2 linked regions of the Pelodiscus sinensis genome follow. The protein of the gene in region 1 purifies or fractionates together with the protein of each later gene. This does not show direct contact. Links are inferred from orthologs where the notes say so. Each region holds a gene or a part of one and is shown on either strand. Other genes may lie near its edges.

Region 1 (7,192 bases):
ATTTTCCTATCATTAAATACAGATATTTCCATGTAGTAGGCAATCACTGAAGCAGAGAACGGAGACAGCTGATATGATGAATGTTCAAATATAGCCTTTCCTGTCTTGTATAACTGGGGGAGGGGGCGGGGGGAGTGTTACATAAAAAAAATCCAAGGAAAAGAGTAATCTCCACAAGCACCGGGGTGGTATGAATTTGCTACTGGAAGCCTCCACAGATAGCAGTAAATATTATTTTACACAGCACCATCAATGGATGTTTGCGTTAGGCTAAATTATACTGGTATTTTACAAAACTGTAATTTTCTGTAATTAATTGTCTGGACCACTTCTACCCCAAAGAGAGCAAGTTACAGCACTGTAAAGCCCCAGGGTAAACCAGACTGTTAGCTACTCCCCTCGTGGAGATGGTTTACACAGAGCACTGGGAGAAAGCTGCTGCAGCTGTGCTCTAAACTTTTAAGTGTACACAAAGCCATAATCATTGTACAAAGACATGGTACCTATTCTACAGAGATTACAGTTTATAATCTAGCAGAGACATGAAAGAGTGGGGCAGAGAAGGAGGAAAAGAAAAATTGCATGGAGTGAAATGATTTGGATTGTTTTGGTGTGTCTCATAGTTCCAAATCTCTCTCTCCCCCCCTCTCCTTCTTCCTCTGTTTAGTTGAGTCCAAAGACTGCGAAGAGTTACAAAGGGATCTCACAAAACTGGGTGAGTAGGCAAGAAAGAGGCAGATGAAATTCAATCGTGACAAACTCAACACAATGCACAATGGAAGAAATAATCCCAAAATAATGTACAGACAAAATGTAGAGTCATGGTGAATAGTTCTCTGAAAACAGCTGTTCAATGTGCAGAATCAGTACAAAAAAACCGAACAAAGTTAGAAACCAATAGGAAAGGGAATAAAACAAAATATAAACACACTAAATAAAATGCATGGTATGCCCCCACCTTGAATACTGCAAAGATATATTAGAAGTGAAAAGAGTATAAAGAAAGGCAACAAAATTTACTAGGAGTATGGATCAGTTTCCATATGAGAAGAAATTAAAGACACTGGCTGCTTAGATCAGAAGAGTGACAATTAAAAAGAACAATGATAGAAGTCTATAAAATCATTAATGGTAGGGAGAAAGTGAATAAAGGAGAGTTATTTACTTCTTCACATAACACACAAGGCAAGGTTCACCCAATAAAATTAATAAGGATCAGGTTTAAAACAAACAGAAGTACTTCTTCACACAATGCACAGTCAACTTGTGGAACTAGTTATCAGAGGATGCTGTGATGGCCAAAAATACAAGTGGTTTCAAAAAACAATCAGATAACTTAATGAAGGATAGCCAACACAGTCAAGGATGCAATCCACTGCTGACTGTCCCTAAAGTAACTGCTAGAACAGGGTTGGGCTCACCTGATAAAACTGCCCAACTGAGTTAAGTGATAGAAATGTAGCCGTGTTAGTCTGGGGTAGTTGAAGCAAAATGCAGGACAATGTAGCACTTTAAAGACTAACAAGACGGTTTATTAGATGATGAGCTTTCGTGGGCCAGACCCACTTTTGATCTGAGGAAGTGGGTCTGGCCCACGAAAGCTCATCATCTAATAAACCATCTTGTTAGTCTTTAAAGTGCTACATTGTCCTGCATTTTGCTTCAACTGAGTTAACACTTTCTGTAGCATCTGGCACCAGTCACTGTCAGAAACCAGGATACTGGGCTAGATAGACCACTGGTCTAACCCAGTATGGCTATTCTTCTGTTCTTACTGATGCACAAGCATCTCAGATTGTGACCCTAACTAAAAATTTTCTGTAGTTAGAGTAAATAATATATAGAAACATAGCAAATTTTTCATAATACCTGGGCTCTGGTGCATTGTCTATTAGGGCTTTGCAAATATTTAAGTTTCACAATCAAACTCTACAAGTTGTAGTGTGTTATCTTTGCACTTCTGTTGAAATATCAGGCAACATTTTCTGTAGTTAAGAAGCCATAAAGGTATTTAAATTAATATTAGGATATTTTATCTAATAAGACTGCAATATACAAATGAATTGTGCAATACTGAGAGAGTAGGAGGATTGGCTGAGTTACCTCAGATATGGCATTTCACTAACTAGGATGTAATAATACCTATCACATAACACTGAATTGTTCATAGGTAGCTTTGATTGGGACAAGTGGAGAAGCAGAGACAAAAAAAAGGCACTAGTGTGATGGTTCTGTAAATCAATTCATGCATTCCTTACTTGTCATCTCTTAGAAATTAAAGAGACGCCGTAACCCAATGTTTGTTGGAACATAGTGTAAACCAAGAAAACTTGATATAGAAACACACACGCAACGGAAGAGACTTTAAACACGGCCACGAGATGCCACACTTTGCCATGCGGAGGGCAGCTACTGAATGCTTCATAGAGTTTGCAGAGTTGGGTCTGACCACCCCCACCGACAGCTCCCCAGAACACGAGGATAACCATACCAGCCCACTCCCACCACGGCTAGGCTAGAGGCGCTGTGGGCGGAGCTGCAGCCTAAGCCCCGGACTCAAAGGCTTCCCTGGGAGGGTCCCTGCGCAGGTGACAGGCTCCCGGGACAGGCGAGGACGCTCACAGCTAAGCACCTTTATCGGCTTTCTGCTTTCACCAGCTTCGCTCAGGCGGCTGATTCGGGCTCCTCACCCGCAGGTCACCTCGGCGCGCCACGGGCTAGCCAGTCAAGGCAGACAGCCGCACGCACCAGCCTGCCGGGTGCAGCCCCCCCAAGCCTCCGGCGGTGCAGCAGCGAGCCCCTTCTCCCCGCCCCGGGGACAGCCCGGCCGACTCCGAGCGCCCCGCCCGCCGCCCAGGCACGCAGCACTCGCTGCCCACTCACCGGAAGAAGGGGTCTTCCTCGAAGAGCTCCCTCAGGCCCCTGTTCCCGAACATGGCAGCGCCGCTACCTCTCAGTCGACTCGCTGTGGCAGCGCCCGAGAGCCCGCCGGCTCCCAACGGCGGCTCTTTTCCTCCGCCCACCAAGCTCCCGCGATGCGCCGCTCACTCCCCATTGGCTGTCCCCGGCCTCGGCTGCCTCCCCATAGGGCGGGGACCGGCGGGGGCAGGGCGGCGTGGCGAGGCTGCTACCATGGCGACCGCTTTCAACACAAGGCCTGACTCGGGCGGCTGGCCAGGTCTAGAAGCTTCTGGCTCTGCGCGAGGCTCAAGGACAGTGGGGCACGGGATGGGGGCGGACAGCGCTACGCCAGCGGGAGGGGAGCTCAGGGCACCACATTAGGGGGCGGCATACGGGTTACGCCTGGTTGCACCCGGGAGGCGCATGGCCCCCTGTGCCTCTGTTAAAATTGCAATTGCCAAATGGGATGACTCCTCATGGCCCCTCCCTGTTCCTCTCGGTCGCTACCCCTCCCTCACAGGCAGCAGTCGCCTATTGCCCATACGGGGTGGGGCTCTTCAGAGGGTGGGGCGACAGCACCTTGACAACTGCAGGGGAGCTCCTATGGACAGGAGGGCGGGGAGCAGGGCACTATGACATGGGGAGGGAGCCCAGGACAAGGTACGTGGAAGCGGGTGGGGGACGACGACTGAGGGACACAGGGCAGCACCTTGTATCGTGGGTCACAGCACCAAAATAATAGGGGCACCAAAGCATAGGGGTGGAAAGGCGTGACAGATAGTTACCTCAAAGAGAGGCCCCGGAAAGAACAGGGGCACTAAACCGTATGGCACTTTAGGGCCTCTTTCTGGGAGGAAGCACAGGACCATAGAGTTCCCTACATAGGAGCTACAGGGCTACAGCACCCAAAATGGAGCATTACCCCCACAGTTCTGGTCTACTGGGACCTTAGCATCATGGGTCACAAGGAGGACACCAAAGAAAAGTCCAGGTTTAAGGGGCCAAAGCAAAGAGTGCACTGTAAGACTGGGACAACGAAAAATAGAAGCGATTTGGAAAAATATTCTGTAGCTAGGAAATGATTGTCAATTTGGAAACAAGGAACAGAATTTGTGTAGGAAGCAGAGATGGGAAGAATTTCCCTTATTTCCATGTTCAAATTATTAATGATTTGTTTTATTCTAGCACTAGGAACTTTAGTCATAGACCAGTATCTCTGAGTGTTAGGCCATTTGCAAAGCAGACTAAAAAGACAGTCCCGGGCCCCCAGGAGTCACGGTCTCCATCAGTGATACTCAGACTGGACACTTGAGAGTGGCTCTTAAAGTGTCCTCTGTCACTCTTTGCAGCTAAGAGTAATGCATGGGGGGCAGGAAGTGTCACATGCCCTCCCCCCATGCTGTGGGAGCCAGGCAAGGGGCTCTTTTGGCTACGCTGCTCAGATGCTGCACTCTGACAGGAAGAGGAGATGCTGCTCAACATAGTGCGGCATCAGAGGGACAGAGCCCCCCTCACTCACCAGGTAATGGGAGGGAGCGTGGAGGGAGCCAGGCAGCAGGTACTCTCTCCTGAGTCCCAGGTGGCTTCCAGCCACACTGCCTGGGATGCTACCCAGTGCACTGCAGCACAGGGAGGGGAGGCATCAGAGCAACTGCACTCTTCCAGGCAGCCTCCGGCCATGTTGTCTGGGACCCTGCTTGCTGGGCAATGCAGTGTAGCAGGATAGACACTCTCCCTGCCTCAGGTAACATGGGATGGGGTACGAATGGGATTATGTGGGTCCTGGACGAGTTGTGTGTGGAAGAGTCACATTGTGTGGAGCTGGTGTCCCCTTTTGTGTTCCTTCTCTCTACTCACCTGTGTTGCAGCACATGATATAAAAACGCTATGTAATTTAAATTAACAACCAGTTTAAGTTAACCAATCAGGATGCTATGTTATTAACCAATTGTAATTGATAAAATAATACATGGTCAGTCTTCTTACGGTGACAGTAATGTACATATATTCATGTACATATGTTAATGTATATAAAACAATGAATTCATACTAGTGAGTAATGTTAATCATTAATTTGGCTCCTGAATCTCTGAGTATCACTGGTCTACATATAAAATGAGATTATGGATGAATATAGACATGGGTGGGGGGAGTAACAGGAACAGTGAGACAATACTGGCCAGCATGATAGGCTGGTCACCTGCACATTAGTAGTCAAATCATTTTCAAGTTTTATGTGGGCATCACAACAAAATTTGAAGGTGGATAATGAGGTGGCTTGGTGGAAGTTTACCGGGAGCATCTCCCAAGCAGGTAGGGAGAAAGGATGATGGTATCCGAAAATGTAGCCGAAGAACAACATAAGTTCACGCCATTGGCCAACCAGAGGCATTGTGTCAGTACTGTGAATTCTATAGGCTGTTATAAGGCTTTTTGGGGTCTCTGGGATTCTGAGGTTTCGATCTATTACTTTGTGATGTACTTTTCATAATGAAAATAGTGTCTTGGATTCTAAATGTTCCCTACATACTAGTGCACACATATCTTAAGAGAAAAGTCACTATAAACAGAGTCTAGTGATACCAATGAGTACTTGTGAACAGAAAAACTTAAAACAACGATTAGTAGCACCTTAAAGACTAACAAAACATGTAGGCTATGTCTACACTGCAGGCTGCTTGCACAAGAGTGCATCCATACTACCATATGCTTTTGCGCAAGAGCTGTGCTTTTGCTCAAGAGCGTCCATGGTGGGGTGGATGCTTTCTTGCTCAAAAAAGCTCTGATGGCCATTTTAGCCATAGGGGTTTCGTGCGCAAGAAACCCCTGTTGCCGGTCCACACTGCCTTCTTGCGCAAGAGCTCTTGCACAAAAGGGCTTATTCCTCGTGGGGAGAGGAATAACACTTGCACAGGAATCCCTCTTTTCTGATGCTTTACTGGAAATGTACTTGCACAAGAACATGCTTGCAGTGTACACGCTCTGCAAGTTTTTGCGCAAAAAGCCTGAAGTGTAGCCGTAGATGGTATCATGAGCTTTCGTGGGCACAACCCACTTCTTCAGATGACTGGAGTATTAAAAGTCCATTAATGGAGTTCCAAGTCACTGTGTTGTTTCAGGCCAATTCCACAAGCCAAATACACAGGGAATGGTTAGAACTTAACTTCATTTACAAGTTTGATTCTTGTCAGAATGGAATGAACTGGCTGGCTTGCACACTACCTTCTACATCCTAACGACTTAATCAGCCAAACAACAGAGGTGCTAATTGTTCTTATCAGCCTCTTGTAACTTGAATAATCTATTCATTGTCTTTCTCCCTCCCTCTTTCCCTTATTTATTCTTGGATCTGGACTTTTAATACTCCAGTCATCTGAAGAGGGTTGTTCCCACGAAAGCTTATGAAACCATCTACATGTTTTGTTAGTCTTTAAGTTGTTACAAGACTATTAATTGTTTTTAAGTTTTTCTAGTTACAGACTAACTCTGCTACCACTCTGAAGCTACTTCTAAACAGTAAAGCTGAAGTTGTGTCACAGTAATTTTTAGTAAAATTCATGGACAGGCTACAGACAATAAGCAAAAATTCACAGAAGCTTGTGATCAGTCTCTAACTTTTATTAAAAGTAACTAACAAAATGGGGAGGAGGGGTCCAGCACCCACTGCTGCTGTGTCTCTGGTATGCCTCTGATACCTCTGGGGGTTGAGTGCATTGAACTTCCCTCGCCACAGCAGCTGGGAACTCCAGGGTTGGCGGGTGGGAGCTCTGAGGGGATCTCGCCACCTGCACTGGCTAAGAGCTATGGGAGCCTTGTTGGCTATCAACTCCAGCCTCACTGCTCTGGGGTTGAAAGGGAAAATGTCATGGAGCTTTTTGAATGTGATGAATTGAAACTACTGTTAAAAATGTTAGTTATTGTGATATTAACTTTTGTGGCATGAAGCAAACTTTGATCCAGCTTAACTGGTATTTGGGAATTAGGCTGCACAGTTAGTTCCAGTGTAGGAGCTATTGCTTAGGGAAAGTAGCATGACTGCAGTACTTCTACACACTAATAATCCCCAACTGCTGGAATGGTCCCTGTTGGATAATTTCAGTTCCTACAATTCAATATATTTCTTGGGACCTGACTGGTAACCTGAGGATCAGACTTACAGCCATCTTTATGGTCTTTCTATCTTAACTTCTCTGAACACCAAACATCCAGTCTCAAAGATAGGGCCCACAGTCCACTCCAATGTATGTTATGGAACACAACTTTGCAAGTGCTCCCTGCATTTTCGCATGCT
Region 2 (7,344 bases), on another chromosome or scaffold:
TCCCCATCAGCACCTCGTGGGCAAGTGCGGGTGCACCCCCACTTCCTTGAGGCCTTCCTTTGGCCCCCATTTCAGATGCACCCGGGCTACAGGCACCTTAAACGGGGACCCATCTATGCCCTTCAGGGTCAGCGGGGTGTGGGGTAGTATCCGCTCTGGGGCCACTATGTCGGATCGGGCCAGAGTCACCTCCGCCCCCGTGTCCCAGAAGCCCGTCACCTTCCTACCATCCACCTCCAGGGGTATGAGGCACTCGCTCCGCAGGGGCCGTCCTGCCCCCACCCGGTACACGGAGAAATCCGCCTCCTGAGAATCAGACCTCCCAGGGGAGGTGCACTGAGCATCCTTCCCCTCTCTCTGAGCTGAGGTTTGCCTGCCAGCCCCTGCCTCTGGGGCAGCCTGCCCTTCCTCCCGCCCCAGCCAGTTAACCCTGGAAAGTCCCCGGTCCTGGGACCTGGTGCACTGAGCCCTCTTGTGGCCTTTTTGCCCACAGCGATGGCAAGTTAGGCTTTGGGCTGTCTCTGTCCAGGCCCTGGCTGGCTCTCTGGGGCACAGACGACCTGTTCCTTGGTCTCGCCCCGTAGTTGACTCCCTCGGTCGCTCAGCCGAGATCCGGTCTCTGCGCGGTTCCCTTTCTCTCCGGGACTCCCGTTCACACCCGGACTGGCTCTCCGTGAACTCATCCGCCAGCCTCCCAGCCTCCTGGGGGTTCTCTGGAATCTGGTCCTTGAGCCACAGCCTCAGTTTGGGTGGGCACGCTTCATAGAACTGCTCCATCAGGACCAGCTTGAGCAGCTCCTCTGCGGTCTGGGCTCCGACTCCAGACACCCACTTGCGGCCGTATTGCGACAGGCGGGAGGCCAGATCCACATAGGTCTCCCGTGGCCCTTTCTGTACCCCCCGGAACTTCTTCCTGTACATCTCGGGGGTCAGCCCGAACTTGTGCAGCAGGGCCTCCTTGACTCGGCTGTAATCCCCTGGCTGTAGGTCCTCCAGCTGACTGAGCACTCCGGCTGCCTCCTGGTTCAGTGCGGGGATGAGCTCCTGCAGCCAGTCAGCTGGGGAAACCCGTTGCAGTCCACAGGCCCTCTCAAAGGAGCTGAGGAACCCGTCTGTCGCCCATGTCCTTCAATTGGGCCACCACGAGCCTCTCCAAGCGTCTGGCAGTCCCGGGACCCTGGGGCCCATCGGCACTTGGCACAGCCGGTGCCCCGCCGGTTCTCCGCTCTGCCATGGCCAGCTCATGCTGTCGCTACCTCTCTCGGTCCTGGCGGTCCCTCTCTCGGTCCTCTACTTCCAATTCCTTGATCCGCAGCTGGATCTCCAGCCGCTGCAGCTCCGCTGGGCTGGCCCCTGCCCTAGATGGGCTACGGCTTGCAGGCCTCCTGGGAGATGCTGTCTCATCTCTCCGGTGGGTTCCAGCGCTCCTCCCCCTCTCTGAGCCTGACACACTCTCAGGGGGGGTCTGGCTGCTTCCCCTGAGGACAAGATCCTGGCCCTGTGGCTGGTCATTCTCTTCCAGCTGGGCAATCAGCTGGGCCTTGGTTGCTTTCTGCACAGGCAAGCCCCTCTCTCTGCACAGCCCCACCAGCAAAGGAAATTGCAGGCATTGAAATTAAAAGCGCAACAGTTCAATCCCATGGCTTCACTTATCAGAAGGGTGGTAACAAATAAAGAACCTGACCAAGATGACCCACAACTAGAAAGGGAGATAAGGCAAAACATTACTGAGATTTCCAGATCAGGTATGGGCATCTGGTCAGTTATGGAGACCCCTAGAAAGAGACACGTCTGGATTGGATGGTGAAGGTGATATCGCGAACTGTCAGAAGGTCAACATATTACAAGGTTTTAGCCCAGGCCTGTGCTAGTGCTTCTGACTAGGCAGTAATACGCAGTACTAGAGGAAGGTTAGATGGAACAGCATTGTTGCTACTGGCTGGGACTGGGTGAAGGAAGTAATGAAGGCAGTGATGTCGGAATAATTCCCGCAGTTGTCGGCTATGTAACAGAATAGAGCCCTGGTGACTTCCCAGAATTGTATGTTATTAAAAAGGAGATTCTGGCTATGGCTGTTGGGTTTGTGCCTGTGGTACTCAAAACTGCCCCGATTTCAATATATTGGCTCTTAAAGTGTCATTGTTAGATTATTTGTATTAAAAAAATGAAAGTGATTTTAGGACCTGTGGATTCAGACAGGGTATACCTGGAATTGAAACAGTAGTTTTTCATGTAGCCCTTCTGCTGGTAGCAGTCGGTAGCCAGGACTGGGTTCAGTATCTAGAGAAGTTCTTTCAACAAGATAACCAAAATGACTTGAGTCCCCACCCGGTAAACTGGGAAAATTCCAACCTATTCACTGGTCGTCTTTAGAGGCACTTCTTCCCCTCTTGCAAACACTGAGTCAGAAATAGCAACAGTCTGTTTAATAACAGTAATCTCGCATCAACCTACAGGTACACACATAAAAAAAGAAAACCCGTAATCAAGATCCCATCCCCAGAGTCTGCAGGGAACAGTCTTCTGCTTAAAGGTCTTTAGTTCATCCCCCAACTCATAGTGTGTTCCCCCCACCCCTTCAAATATCCCACTCATGGCTCTGTCCAGTCAGTGCAGACCCAGAGTCTGCACAGTGGTACATCATCCTGATATCTCCATTCATTAAGCATGTGGCAATGCCACCTCTGTGCTGTTCCCGCCAGCCACTCCACTGGCCACCTGCCACTGCTCCCCCTGGCCACCTCCCTTGCTAGCCAGCCTTGGGATGGATTTGGGCTTTAGGCCAAACCTAGTGATTTCAGCTCTCTGTGATGCCAGCTTTTCAGTGATTTCAGCCCACAGCACAGTCCACTCAAAAGATTTCAGCATCCACTAGAATAACATTTTAAAATAATACAGAGACTCTTTATGGAGTCAAGTATCAGAGGAGTAGCCGTGTTAGTCTGAAGCTGTAAAAGCGGCGAGGAGTCCTGTGGCACCTTATAGAGTAACTGAAGTGTTGAGCATAAGCTTTTGTGGGCAAAGACCCACTTCGTCAGATGCATGTAGTGGAAATTTCCAGAGGCAGGTATAAATATGCAGGCCAGAATCAGGCTGGAGATGACAAGGTGGATCCAATCAGGGAGGATGAGGCCCATTTCTAGTAGCTGATCTAGTAGCTGATCTGTGAATTCCAAGAGAGGAAAAGCTGCTTTTGTAGTTAGCAAGCCATTCACAGTCTTTGTTTAATCCAGAGTTGATTGTGTCAAACTTGAAGATGAACTGTAGCTCAGCAGTTTCTCTTTGAAGTCTGGTCCTGACGTTTTTTTGCTGTAGGATGGCTACCTTTAGATCTGCAGTTGTGTGTTCAGGGAGATTGAAGTGTTCCCCTAGAGGTTTTTGTATGTTGCCATTCCTAATATCTGATTTGTGGCCATTGATGCTTTTATGTAGGAACTGTCCGGTTTGGCCAATGTATATGGCAGTGGGGCATTGTTGGCACACGTTAGAGGAAGAAATGGATATGAATATGGGTATCAGATGCAGATATGGGTATCCATTTGGTTAAAGGTGTTAGAGGGACATTGAGAGCAGAAGCATGGAGGAAATTCGTGCTGGAGGAACCAAAAAAAGAAATGAAATGGGAAGCTCACAAGCGAGTTACGGCAGAGGGCTGCCCCTTACAGAGGCAAGAGGAACTGACAATGCTCCTGTAACTCCCACAATGGACCCGGACCCCAAATGCTCGGAAGTAGTGGCCCAACTACATCATGACAAATGGGGGGGGGGTCCCCTCTGTAGGCAATAAGGGGCAGATTGGGGGAACCACCCTGCCCCATGAATTATGCTCAGTGCCTCTGGCGCATCAATGCCCCGCTGGGAGGACAGCGGCGGCCCGGGGCGCTGTGCAAACACCGCTAGTTCCACCTGCCGGGGAGACAACGGAAGCTTTTATCGCCAGAGCGGCCCTGCCCGCAGGGAACGAGGCGTCACGCGCTCGAAGTCGCCCGGCAGCAAGTGCCTTCCCCGACGGGGGAGCGCGCGGGGCAGAACAGCGACAGCGCCGCTATCGGACAAAGCCCCAAGTGCTGGGCCGCCCGTGAAACCAGGGCACCGGCTCACCCGAGCGGGGCCTGTGACGCGCGCGGAGACGGGCCCTCACGGCCTCGGCCCCGCCTGGGCTCCCGCGCCGGTCAAGTCTCCCGCGCCACAACTCAGCCGCCAGGCGCGCTGCCTGCGGCCAGCAGATGGCGCCACCGCTCGTTCGCTCGCTCTCCCGGCGCCGCCCTCTCCCCCGCGCTTCCGCCGCCAGGGGAGAGGGAGAGACCGTTCCAGAAACGTCCGGAAATAGAGGGCGTTAGCGGAAGTGACGTTTCGGCGTGCGACGCAATTTCTGTTTGTGCGTGGCCGGCCGACGCTTTTGTAATCGCTGCTGCTGTTCGGGGAGAAGGGAGCGCAGCGGCCGTGCAGGGTGAGCCAGAGGCTCGTCGGGGATCGGGCATTGAGGGGGCGGCGGTACCGTGCTGGCGGGGGCCGGGGTTCCGTCGGGTCTGGGGGGGGCGGAATGTGAGGCCGGCTCTCGCCCCCAGCAACCGTGTTGTTGGTAATGCAGCTCCTCGCTCCCCCCCCCCCCCCGCTGGTGGCGCAGAGCTGGGGCTGACGGAGCGCGGAAGGGCGGGCGGGGGTGGGGGAGCGGAGGCTGCTGCCCGGGCCCTCGCCCGCTGTGGGGGCGCTGCGGGACGCCGGGGGTGGCGCTTAGCTCTGGCCCGCGTTCGGGGCTGAGTCGGCGGCGGTGGGAAGGGAACGGGTGCAGCGCTGGGCTTCCTGCTTTGGGGACGGCGGCGAGCGAGGCAGGGCCCTGGCGGCTCGATTATCGTGACCGGCCGCTGGGCGTCCTGGAGATGCGCCGCGGCTCTGAGCAAAGGAAATGGCTCGTGTTTGATCCCTCGCAACGAGGCCAAGTCAGATGGCTCCGAGCGATCAAACGCTGCTGGGGAGATGCGGGAGGGGCGAGAGAGCTTAGAAAACTCCCAGCGCGCTCTAACGTTGTGAAAACTACTGTGCAGCCTTCTCTTTACTGTGACTTTGCTGCAAGCTTATGATGGGTGATGATGGCCCGTAGTAGTGTGTTTTTACAAAAGCAAGCAAGGAAAGCAGCTACTGCACTACATGCCAATTCCGGGGTCCTGCATTAGCTGCTGTTTACAGTAAAACTTTCATGCGCTGTGAGTTTCTTCCAGCCCAGTGTGTTGTGTGCAAAGGTGAGGGGCTTTTGGATGTTGTGAATGTGAAATTGCCAGGTTTCACACAGACAATATTCCCTGTGAAGGGGAAGTAGGTAGTTCATGTCACTGCTGCATGCAGGACTTCTGAGATGACAGTGAGTGGGGAAGTGGAGTCTCTGGTCATCTTGCTGGTTATAACACTTAAAACTAGTTTCAGTTTGGTCACTGATAATGTAGTTTGAAGTTGACTTGTCTGCAAGCTGGTTTCCTCTTTGAGGCCAGAAGAACTTGTTCCCAAGGTATTAGGATCCTTGAAGCCATTTCTCAATATGTTTTAACTAGTAACACTAAATGGTAGATACCTACAGTAGTGTATTAGTAGCAGAGCATTGTTTTAACTGGACCAAGATGAAAGTTATAGAAGCTAAACTTGTGTAATAAGGTTTTAAATGCACATGGTCAAGCTTGTGATCTGGCATAGTAGGTCTGTTGTCTGTCTTGTGGATAGAATGTCGGGGGGGGGCATGTCGGACACATTTTTTGACTTGTATGAGTGATTGGAATGGCTTTGGGCTCTGTTAGATTTCTATGTTCTGATTATATGGTCCTTTAGCAAAGTGTATTGCTGAGGAGTGAATAATCATATTGGGTTGGATTTTTGCTCCATTTTGGGGGTGTAAGTTATGTAACTCTAGTTACAAAAGGTGTTTGTCTCCAGGTTGGGAGGTAACATAACTGCCAAGTTCCTATGTTAGCTTACTGGGCCAACTAAATTGTCTGCTGAAGTCTGTATACAATAGGGATGTAAAATCATGTTGAATTGATTAACCGGTTAATTCTATTGTTTAACTAGTTAGCGGATTGAAGAGGGTGGTTGGGCTGCCACCAACAGAGCTGTTCTGGCAGGGATGTTGGAGCAGCCCTGTTTGCAGTGGTTCCCCCTTGGTGCTGGTGCAGTTGCCTTCCCACAGCAAGAGGAGAGCTTCTCTCGCCCCCACTAGTTAAAGATTCACATTTCAGTGTACACTGATTTACTAATCTTATTGCTAGGATCCTTGTGACTTTCAGAAATCTGCAGAATAAAAAATTAACAATTTACTTAAACTTTGGTTGTATAGATAATATTTGAGAGCCCCTGTTAGCTCTGACTATAACCACAGAGTCCTTCTTATCAGATGTTTACATCATTTTGTTTTCAATTCTCTTTTCAATTTTTGTATCTGAATTCAGCTTTGTTGTAGCTGATGTCATGGTCCCCTGTTTTGTGTCAAGAAAATCATCAACATCCAGTGAAAACACAAATATCTTGAAATCTAGACATCAGAACAACAGGGATCTTTCACTTCCTGTTGCTTAACAAGTTGCAGTAAAGTCAAAATTTCATAAAATAGTATTATACAGCATTCTACAAGTTGAACCTTTCATCTGGTATTTTCTGGTCTGGTATGATTTTGGTCGGATGTCCACTTATGTGTGTGGCCAAGTTTCCCATGGTCCCATCAAGTTTGTTTATAGCCACCAGTCCTGTCTCACTATCCTGTGCTGCTGTTCAGCTCCAATTTATCCCTAAATGTCACCTACCATCCCAGTAAGTAGAAGTGCTGGTAATGCTGCTAGACAATATTGACCTTCTGTGGTCTGGAAGATTGTCTGGTTCAGCACTGGTCGGGTCCAGAGGGTGCTGGAGTAGAAAGGTTAAATCTGTATTAAAAGATCTTGCTCTGATAGCCTAAGTGACTGCAAGATTGATTTTTCTCCTGGCTCCCTGCAAAACGGCGGAGGGTTCACCCCTTGCTGCGCCATTCCCTGCTGACCCCTTCGTAAGATTCTCCAGAAGATTTTATCAAACAGTGACCCATTAGAAAAAACCTCAGGTTTTTTTTTTAAAACTTTGGAAAAAAATCTTAATTTAAAAACATTTTAGTGTCATAAATAGAGAAATTCCCACTTGCATTTGGGATGTAAGGGACTAGTTGACTATCTGATAAGCAAAAGCTTATTGGATAGTCATCTAGTGCTTTGACTATTTGCGGCCCCCCCATTAAAGGCAGCAAGGGGGGGGGAGGGAGAGCAGGTGCCAGTGCTGGGAGGAACTGGCTTAAAAGCCGGTTATCCCCCCCCAGCACCGTCTCCGTGGGAG

The links. Proteins that work in one complex are often made in the same cells at the same time.
Region 2: the proteins of MLF1 (region 1) and DNAJB6 purify together in Homo sapiens (affinity purification with mass spectrometry; 3 studies listed by BioGRID and IntAct, counting the BioPlex papers as one, with this or other methods). This does not show direct contact. The link is inferred for Pelodiscus sinensis from reciprocal best matches to the Homo sapiens genes MLF1 and DNAJB6.

The regions. Positions count from the first base shown.
Region 1 is NC_134720.1:31,525,082-31,532,273, reverse strand, and holds the start of MLF1 (myeloid leukemia factor 1), read right to left. Parts: upstream 3,056-7,192; 5' UTR 2,937-3,055; coding exon 2,884-2,936; intron 1-2,883. UniProt on the Homo sapiens protein: Involved in lineage commitment of primary hemopoietic progenitors by restricting erythroid formation and enhancing myeloid formation.
Region 2 is NC_134712.1:239,889,146-239,896,489, reverse strand, and holds the start of DNAJB6 (dnaJ homolog subfamily B member 6), read left to right. Parts: upstream 1-4,317; 5' UTR 4,318-4,450; intron 4,451-7,344. UniProt on the Homo sapiens protein: Has a stimulatory effect on the ATPase activity of HSP70 in a dose-dependent and time-dependent manner and hence acts as a co-chaperone of HSP70. Plays an indispensable role in the organization of KRT8/KRT18 filaments.